Mus musculus: one gene and its partner. The protein of the gene in region 2 purifies or fractionates together with the protein of the main gene of each other region. This does not show direct contact. Links are inferred from orthologs where the notes say so. Each region holds a gene or a part of one and is shown on either strand. Other genes may lie near its edges. The genes, in order: Prpf19 and Ctnnbl1.

The links.
Region 1: the proteins of Ctnnbl1 (region 2) and Prpf19 purify together in Homo sapiens (affinity purification with mass spectrometry; 4 studies listed by BioGRID and IntAct, counting the BioPlex papers as one, with this or other methods). This does not show direct contact. The link is inferred for Mus musculus from reciprocal best matches to the Homo sapiens genes CTNNBL1 and PRPF19.

Annotation. Positions count from the first base shown.
Region 1 is NC_000085.6:10,893,736-10,898,097, reverse strand, and holds the start of Prpf19 (pre-mRNA-processing factor 19), read right to left. Parts: upstream 2,868-4,362; 5' UTR 2,649-2,867; coding exon 2,630-2,648; intron 596-2,629; coding exon 446-595; intron 282-445; coding exon 205-281; intron 1-204. UniProt on the Homo sapiens protein: Ubiquitin-protein ligase which is a core component of several complexes mainly involved pre-mRNA splicing and DNA repair. Required for pre-mRNA splicing as component of the spliceosome.
Region 2 is NC_000068.7:157,735,967-157,740,326, reverse strand, and holds the start of Ctnnbl1 (beta-catenin-like protein 1), read right to left. Parts: upstream 2,927-4,360; 5' UTR 2,798-2,926; coding exon 2,768-2,797; intron 1-2,767. UniProt on the Homo sapiens protein: Component of the PRP19-CDC5L complex that forms an integral part of the spliceosome and is required for activating pre-mRNA splicing.

The DNA of each region.
Region 1 (4,362 bases), on a different chromosome or scaffold from region 2:
GTAATGCACGGTCATACGTGTAAGCCAAAGACCCAGACACGGTCATACGTGTAAGCCAAAGACCCAGACACGGTCATACATGTAAGCCAAAGACCCAGACACAGAAGAGAGAGGGGAGGGGAGGGGAGAGGAGGGAGGAGGGAGGCCCCATCTTTTCAATCCCCAGGTCCTAGCCCAGAGGTGCATTCTTTTCACAGAACTCACCCACTCATCCTGCAAGGCTTTCAGAATGGCTGGGATGCTGGTGGCGGAGGGAGGCTTGGGTCGGATTGGGTGAGCAACTGCCAAGAGAGGCAGCAAAGTAGGTATGAAGAACTAGAACCCAGGGAACTCTCCCCCACCACCCCCACCCCCAGCCACCATCTTCTCCACCAGATTGGCTCCACCCCCCACCGGTGAAGGCTGAGCTGAGCTGGCCTTGGACTTGAGGCTACTGGGCAGGCACCTTTGATGTCGATGAGCTGCTCCTCTGAGAGAGGCTGGTTGTTGATAGGATCTGTGCCATTCTCTGCAATGTACTTCTCAATGAGTCGCCGCTCATACACATGATTAGAGACAGGGGACACGCACGGGTGCTCTGGCACTTCATTGGAGACTATAGAGAAAGACAGGTAGTGAGAGTGAGCACAGGAGAAAAGGAGACGTGGGCAGAGGAGATTCTTCATTGTGTCAGCCCCAACAAGACCATGTCCTCCTAGTCAGCTATCAGGAAGCAAGGTCTGTGACAGCAAGCCTGCCCGTACTTGGTCCTACAATGCTCGCCAACTACTTAGCTAAATTCTCTGGTCTGCTGATAATAAAAGTCAATAAATAATAACTGCCCAGATCCTATGTGCCAGTACTGTACAGAGTGGTCAGTAAGTCCTGCCCATCTCATTTTTGAACCGAGATGGACAGAGAAGCACACAGAGCACAACTCAAACCTGTCATCCAGTGGGAGCCCTAGACAGATCAACAGGAGAAATTCCGAAGCAACGTGACAAGTACTGATAAAATGAAAACAAGCAAACAAAGAGCTCTGCTACTACATGCCAAGCAAGATTCTATTCTAAGCGCTTGACAGAATAGTCTGTGTACCCTTGAAGATGGCCGTTACAGCTGTCACTGACCTCCAGGACAATGCAGATACTAAGCTGACACTTGATAAACATCATAACAGGGTAAATGAGTGCAAAAGTCCCGGGGCCCAGAAAAGAATATTCCAAAGTACGAAGCCTTGAGCATGCTTAACTACCAAAATAAAAAATAAAGAAATGAAGGCCCCAAAAGCAGGCTTAAAACCAAGGTCTCTCTGACCTTCTCAGACTTGTTTCTCTACCTTCCCCTAAACAGGGTCAACTGGTTCACTTTAGCAGACAAGTGGAAGCTACCTCCACATCAGACTCTTCTGAAAGCTGCTCTAAGATAGCGACTTGTCACATCACAAAACAGCTCTTATTCACCACACAATTCTATTCAGCCTCCCATAGGTTGTGAGTCACCATCCTAAGGTTCAAGCTCCTATTCTTCTCCGTGGCTTCTCTTAGAATCACCTATTTTTGCAGGACTCCCATGCATGTGTTATTAAGTATGGATTTGTGCCATATTTAAAACCCGTATCTTGTACACGGCCTTCCTGTCCTATTCTGTTGGTTTATCACACTACTCGACGACTAAAGCTTTCTGGGAGCTTTCCCTCTTCTACCAGAGGAAGGATAGCCCTGGGCACGTAAGAGTGTGGTCTCAAAGATGGAAAGAAAACAAATCGTTTGTAAATACTTTGCAAACTGCAATTTCTCTAGTATGAGATTTCCTTTTCTGCTTGTCATTTCCCTCCTCCTTTTCCTTCTTTGAACTAATGGCAACGTTCTGAGAGGGAAATAGAGAAGGCGAGGAATCTAGTAACGTGGTAAACAATATGGGAGAACACCCGCAATGCCGTAATACAACACCCCAAGACAGGACAGCATAGTGCACGGGAAAACCATGGATCCAGGCTCAAAGAGCCAAGCTCCACTGCTTAGCTTCCTCGCACACCCCTAGGTAAACCCATTCTTCAAGACTTCCGACACCCTCTGTAACTCACGGATCTTTATTTCCCTTCAGACAATTCTTGTAAGCATAAAATGAGATCACCGTTTGGAAATGCATCGTAAATCAATACAGGTTTTCTAAACATTCGCTGTTTTCATTAGTCATACTGCGCGAGGCTAGAAGCCAGACACCTGGCTTCCAGCCCTGTCTCGAAGTCACTGCGTGATCTCTGCAAATCGGAAAGTCCGATTCCTAAGCGAGGTTTCCCAAGCAATGCCCACTGCAATGCTTTCAATTTTGCAGATGGGGAAACTGAGGCCCAAACCCGCTAGAGCCCAGATCACAATTGGAGGCGGATCCTGGGCATGTCCTCGGGTTTTTTGACACCAAGAGCTGTTTTTCACTGCACCAGCTCCTCCCCCCCACTTCTGCTCAGGCCTGTCTCAGCTCTGTAAAACGACGCCGGTTTCAAAAGACCCCTGAGACAGTCATTCTTCCCAGCTACGTGAATTGCGCAGCCCTGCGCAAATGCACCCTGCACGCAGGGCCGGGAGCTCCAGGGCCCGAGCCACAGGGGCCACACACGCTCCCGCCTCCCGCCGCAGCCAGCACTCACTCGAGCAGATCAGGGACATGGCGCCGTCGTAGCGCTGCTGCCAGTCGCCTCACAGAGGGTTCCCGGTTCTCTGCAGCCTCCGCGGGCCACTTCCGGTCCCCCGCCGCTTCCGGAGCGCTCGGACGCGGGTAGACAGCTGCCCAGCGTGGCGATGCTCGCACAACTGCTTCACGTGGGGAGGTGGCCGGTGGCGCGCCTCAGCCTTCTGCAGCTAACGGAAACTGCCCTTTCCCAGCATGCAACCGAGCAGGAAAAGGCCCGCCTCGAAACACTCGGCTGTTTCCGCATTGGCTCGGCTTCTTCCGGCGAGCGCTCCAAGAGGCCTGAGGCGGGAAGGAGAGAAGAAACTACATTTCCCATGAGGCTGCGGGGACCGCCAAGGCTCTTTTTTTTTTTTTTTTTTTTAGATGGAGCTGCTGTCACCTAGGGAACACTAGTCTTTGAAATGGTCGTGTGCAAGACAGATTTTTCAGGAGCTTGTAAAAGTGCAGATTCCTAGAGTCTGCCTTAGAGAGTCTGTAGGCATGATTCGGAGACCTGTGTTCCTTGGCCGGCTTTTGAGAAACAATGTGACCCTGTAAATAAAGCACAAATGAGTAAAGAAACTAACACTGCCTAAATTCTTGCTCTGGAAATATGGGCAAGCCAATGACTTCGTTGCCTGCTACGTTTTAAATATAGTCTGTTTTGTAAACTCAAGGGAATTTAGTTCCCAGCGTCTTATGTGTACGTTTAAAAGAATGGAAATTTGATGGGTGTGTTTGCAGAAGTCTTTAAACACAGGCACTGGGCTTCAGAGGCAGGCAGATCTCGGAGTACAAGTCCAACCTGGTTATATAGTGAGCTCCAATCCAGGGCAGTCAGAGCTGTGTAGAGAGAACATGTCTCAATAAGCAACCAAACAGTAAGAGTGGAAAGTTAGCACGACTATGGTGTTTTTCTGTGGTTTTGTTTTTGTTTTTTTGAGACTGGGTTTGTGTGTGTGTGTGTGTGTGTGTGTGTGTGTGTGTGTGTGTAGCCCTGGCTGTCCTGGAACTCAGTCTGCAGATAAGGCTGGCCTCAAACTCAAAGATCTTCCTGTCTCTGCCTTTTGAGTGCTGAAATCAAAGGTGTGTGTCATTACTATCTAGCTTAACTGTGGAATGTAGAGGTGGGATCTTTAGAATAAGACATTACAAGAATCCTGGTGGAGTTCATATAGGGAAAGAAAGAGTGAACAGGCACAAATGAACCAGTTGACTTCCATGGCAATGTGACACCAGCAAGGAAGAGGCCCTAGACATTGCCCACGTCATTCTCTTTGAACCTTGTGCTTCTAGAAATTTGAGCAAGGAGAACCCTCTTTTCTTTAAAGTAGCCTACCTCAGGTGTTTTGTTATAATAACAGTTCCCTGCCTCCTGCCAACTTCTTTTGTTTTCTCTACTAAAGACCGGACCAGATCGGCTACCAAGCCTGATACCCGAGTTCAGTCCCCAAGACACCCCCCCCACACACACACACACACAAGCACACACAGTAAAATAAATAAATAGGCTAGGCCTGGTGGCACATTGAGAGTAAGTAAATAAACTAAAATGGTATCAGTCATAATGGAGTTCTATGGTAGCAAATTAAAACTAGCTTTCTAACCTTCTAAGAAATCAGGACAGACAGAGGCAATGGCCACATGTCCTAGCCCTGCCAATCACAGCAAGCATGGTAACTATGTTCTGCCTGCCTTGGTCCTTATGAA
Region 2 (4,360 bases):
ACTCCTTCCCTGATCACTCAGTCTACAGAGACCCTAAAAGGAGCTATTTACAATGGCGCTGGCCTACAGAAATGCAGTGGAAGTCACAAACTTTACATAGAAGATTAAACTTGGAAGTAGGCACAAAATTTAAGTTTAATAATCTATTATCCTTAATCCAGTATATCAAATGTAATCCATATTTAAAAATTAAGACATTTCATCTTTCCACAATAAGGCTGTGAGATGCAGGGTGCACTTTACACATAAGAAAGAACTTGATGCAGATGGGCCCCCCTTTTGACGTGCACTAGCCATGTGCACAACAGCCACCACGTATGCTCACATGTCCGCGGCGGACCCTGCTGCACTCCCTCACAACACGTCCAGCCATCTGAAGTTCTTGTTTACTTCCTTAGTTATTCTCTGGTGACTCCCCCACCATATTTGCCTTTTCACACAAAAGCAAGAGCCTTGTCTCATTTCTTTCCACATCATATGCTCAGTGGACCAAGTGCATTGCACACAGTAGATGGTCAATAAATATCTGTAACCAAAGAATGGGCCCCTTCTGGTAGTGTTGCTCCACATCTGAAACAATGGACTGGACTAGCCAGCCCAGAACTCCCAGACGAGCACTCATCGGTGACCTTCCCACCATCTTTCTTGTTTCATCACCAATTACATATCTTAAAGAGAAAACTATTATGGCCTCGCATCTGTTATCTGTTGCTTATGTATTCTTTCCCTTTTTTTCTTTTAATGTATTCTTTCTCATCAGGCCTGGAGTCTCCATCTACGGGGTCAGTGTTGTATATATTGGCTAAAGGAAATAACTACCAATATTAGTATTTATGGGCTGTTTTAACTGCAACAAACATTGGCCTAACACTGCTTTTTTTTTCTCTTTTCTTTTTTCTTTTCTTTTGGTTTGGTTTGGTTTCTGAACACGATTTCTCTGTGAGACCCTGGCTGTCCTGGAACTCACTCTGTAGACGAGGCTGGCCTCAAACTCAGAAATCCGCCTGCCTCTGCCTCCTCCCAAATGCTGGGACTAAAGGTGTGAATCACCAACCACCAGACATAGCTAGGCTTTTTGTTGTTCTTTCATTTTGGTTTGCTTTTATTTTTTGGTTTTTCAAGACAGAGTCTCTCTGTGTAGCCTTGGCTGTCCTCTGTAGACCAGGCTGGCCTCGGACTCAATGAGATACACCTGCCTCTGCCTCCCAAGTGCTGGGATTAAAGGCGCCAGCTTCTTAACAGACTCTTACCAGAAGAAGAACTTTCTTCACAACCGACCATAAGGTCGGTACCATGAGGTATCTGTTCAAGATTACAACAACTAGTTAGTAAGGCAAAAGGCATGGAAGGCAACCTGGGGCTCCAAATCCAGGCCTTTTATTTTATTTTATTGTAGTGGTGGTGGGGTGTCTCAGTATGTACCCCTGGCTGGCCTGGAACTCAGTGACCCACTGGCCGCTGCCTCCCTCCCAACTTTCAGGCACTGAGATTCAAGGCAGCCATGGCTAACAGCTCAGGTTCACAGGTTCTTACCGCCTACTCTGGCCTGCAGAGATATCACTTTTTTGTTGTTGTTGGTTTTGGGGGTTTTTTGAGTTTTTTTTTTTTTTTTTTTTTAGAGACAGGGTTTCTCTGTATAGCCCTAGCTGTCCTGGAACTCACTCTGTAGACCAGGCTGGCCTCAAACTCAGAAATCCATCTGCCTCTGCCTCCCAAGTGCTGGGATTAAAGGCACGAGCCACCACGCCCGGCCTAGAGCTATCACTTTTAAACTCAAGTTCACAGGTTCTCACTGCCTACTCTTGACTGCAAAGCTATCACTTTTAAAACATCACACCTTGAACAAAATGCAAGTGGATAAGGTTGGCTTACCCACTTTTTATTTCATCCATCACCCAAAGTCTGCTCCATCATATTATGGCCTCATACATATTCAATCAATATGATCAAGGATCTGTGATCAATATAAAAATACTACCTTTTTCATACTAAGTCTTTAAAATGAAGTGTGATTTACAATTACAGTACTTCCTAATTCAGAATAATTACAGTTTATGGGTCCCAACGCCTATTGCAGCTAATGAAAACAAAGATGGACACAAGAAGCCTCGTTAGGCAGTCAAAAGAGGGACAAAACTCTGAGTTGGGAGTCTGGACACTTGAGCTTTGTAACTGTTGAGTGACCTCAAGAGAGTCCTTTCTTCTCTCTGGGTCACCCGTTCCTCACAAGCACCCTGAGCAAGGAGGTCGAGAGGTCTCTTACCGACCCATTCCAAGCTCCGTCTTCCAAACAGCTTAACAATAGCAGGGAACGTGGGCACAGGTTTCTGCACTTTCAAATGACCTTTCACATACATCCATCCACTTTATAGATTTTAAAAGAAGAATTGAGACTCCGTGACGGGAGAAAGACTTCTCCAAAGCTACACTGACACTTGGTAAAGAAACTGAGGCTCAACACCGGGGGGGGGGGGGGGGCGGGGGTCTTCACAACTGTCTCCCCAAGCCCTGTGAATTGGTAGAAACGAGACGGAAGAGGAGCTGAGGGCTACCGGGTGGGGAACAGAAATCACAAGGCTCAGGTCTGGAGAAGGAAGGGGTCGAAAGGGTCCAGAGGGCTTAGGGGAGTGAAGTGCAATGACAGGATGCAAGCCCGGGTGACATGAGAAGTGAGGGCCAGGGACCGAGGGGAGGCAAGATGACGGGACTCTGTCCCTGCTACCCGAGCGAGGATGAGGAGCCCTCCGGCCTCGCCAACTGCTCTTACCTGGTAGCTTAAAAGTTCGCCCACGTCCATGGTTCCGGACCCAATCAGCACAGGGTACCCTGGTTGCCTCCACTCAACTCCCGAACCACGGGCCGCTCAGAGGCTTTTCCTGACACACTGCCGTAAAGCGCCAGGCCCCAGAACCAATAGAGTAAAAGAGCGCGTGGCCGGTGAGCCCGCCACACTGCCGTAAAAGGACGCGCTGCCGTAAAGCGCGCCGCGTTTTGACAATTCTGCTTCCGCCTGTAACCTGAAGGGGCGGGGAAAGGGGCGGATACTTAGGGGATGAACCTAAAAGCGAGGCCGTTATCCAAGAGTAGAGCAGAGTGCTTGGCATTTCGTGGGTAACCTTAAAGAGCTTCCAGAGACTGGCACTTTTGTTCTTTCATTCTCATTTCACAGATAATTGAAGTTGGCCTGTTGGTGGTGTTGAATGCCTTTAATCCCAGCACTGGGGAAGCAGAGGCAGGCAGAGCTCCGCAGGCATATGTTTTGAGTTCGAGGACAGCCTCGTCTACAGAAACGAGTTCCAGGACAGCTAGGGCTACAGGGAGAGAAGAGGGAGGGAAAGAGGGAGAGGAAGGAGCTGAGGTTTGAAATTATGCGCCCCATAGTTAGTCACATGTGGCTCTGGGGCACTTGAAGTGTGCCTAGTCCTAATAAAGATGTTAAGTGTTAATCAAATGCACAGTGGATTTTTCGTACTTGAACTGGTTCCTTTTTTTTTTTTCACTTACTGGGTAAAGGAAGATATATTATGAAATGAATTTGACTTTCCTCTCATTTGTTAAGCGTACTTAGTAGATATACTGAAATTGTATATGTGGATTTCATTTTGGGGTTCCCATTATGCTTCCCCTGGGCTTACAAAATGGCTTCCGGCCATAGGTGGCTGAGAAACCATTGATATCATGTTTGTTTTTTTCCCCCAGGCTTCTTTGTATTCACTAACACAAGACCCAGTGGCAACTGGAAGATCTCCTGTCTACCCAAGCTGTATTAAAGGGTCTGGGGGTCTGGAGACATGGCTCAGCGCTTAGAACCATTTACTGCTCTCTAGACGTCTACTTCCGTTCCCAGCACCCATGCTGGACAGCTCACAATTGCCTGTAACTCCAGTTCTGGGGGATCTGGTGCTCTCTTCTGGTCTCTGTGCAGACCCACAAGCACACGCATACACACATTTATATATATATAAAGGTTGGTTCCTGGGGAAGGAATTTGCCCATTATTGAGAGATAGTCAAGGCGTTCCTCTTCTGGGATTACAACAGACACCATCCAGAAACCCCATTCAACTACCTCCAACTACACATAAGAAAATTGTTATTCCTCAAACTGCCACAACCTCTCCTCATTATTCTCTCTGTTAGCACTTCCTCTACTGTTCACAGACTCAATCTGTCATTTTGTACTTGATGGTTGACATTTTATGTTTTGACAGCCTCATTAATTGGACTCCAAACTCTCTAAAAGTTGGGATTGAGTTTGTCAACCTCACCCTCGAATCTTCAAAGCCCAGAACAACGCATGACAGAGAAGGTTTCACCGTGGGCTTTGTGAGTGTTGTTAAGGAGAGTGGATTTTATGTTAT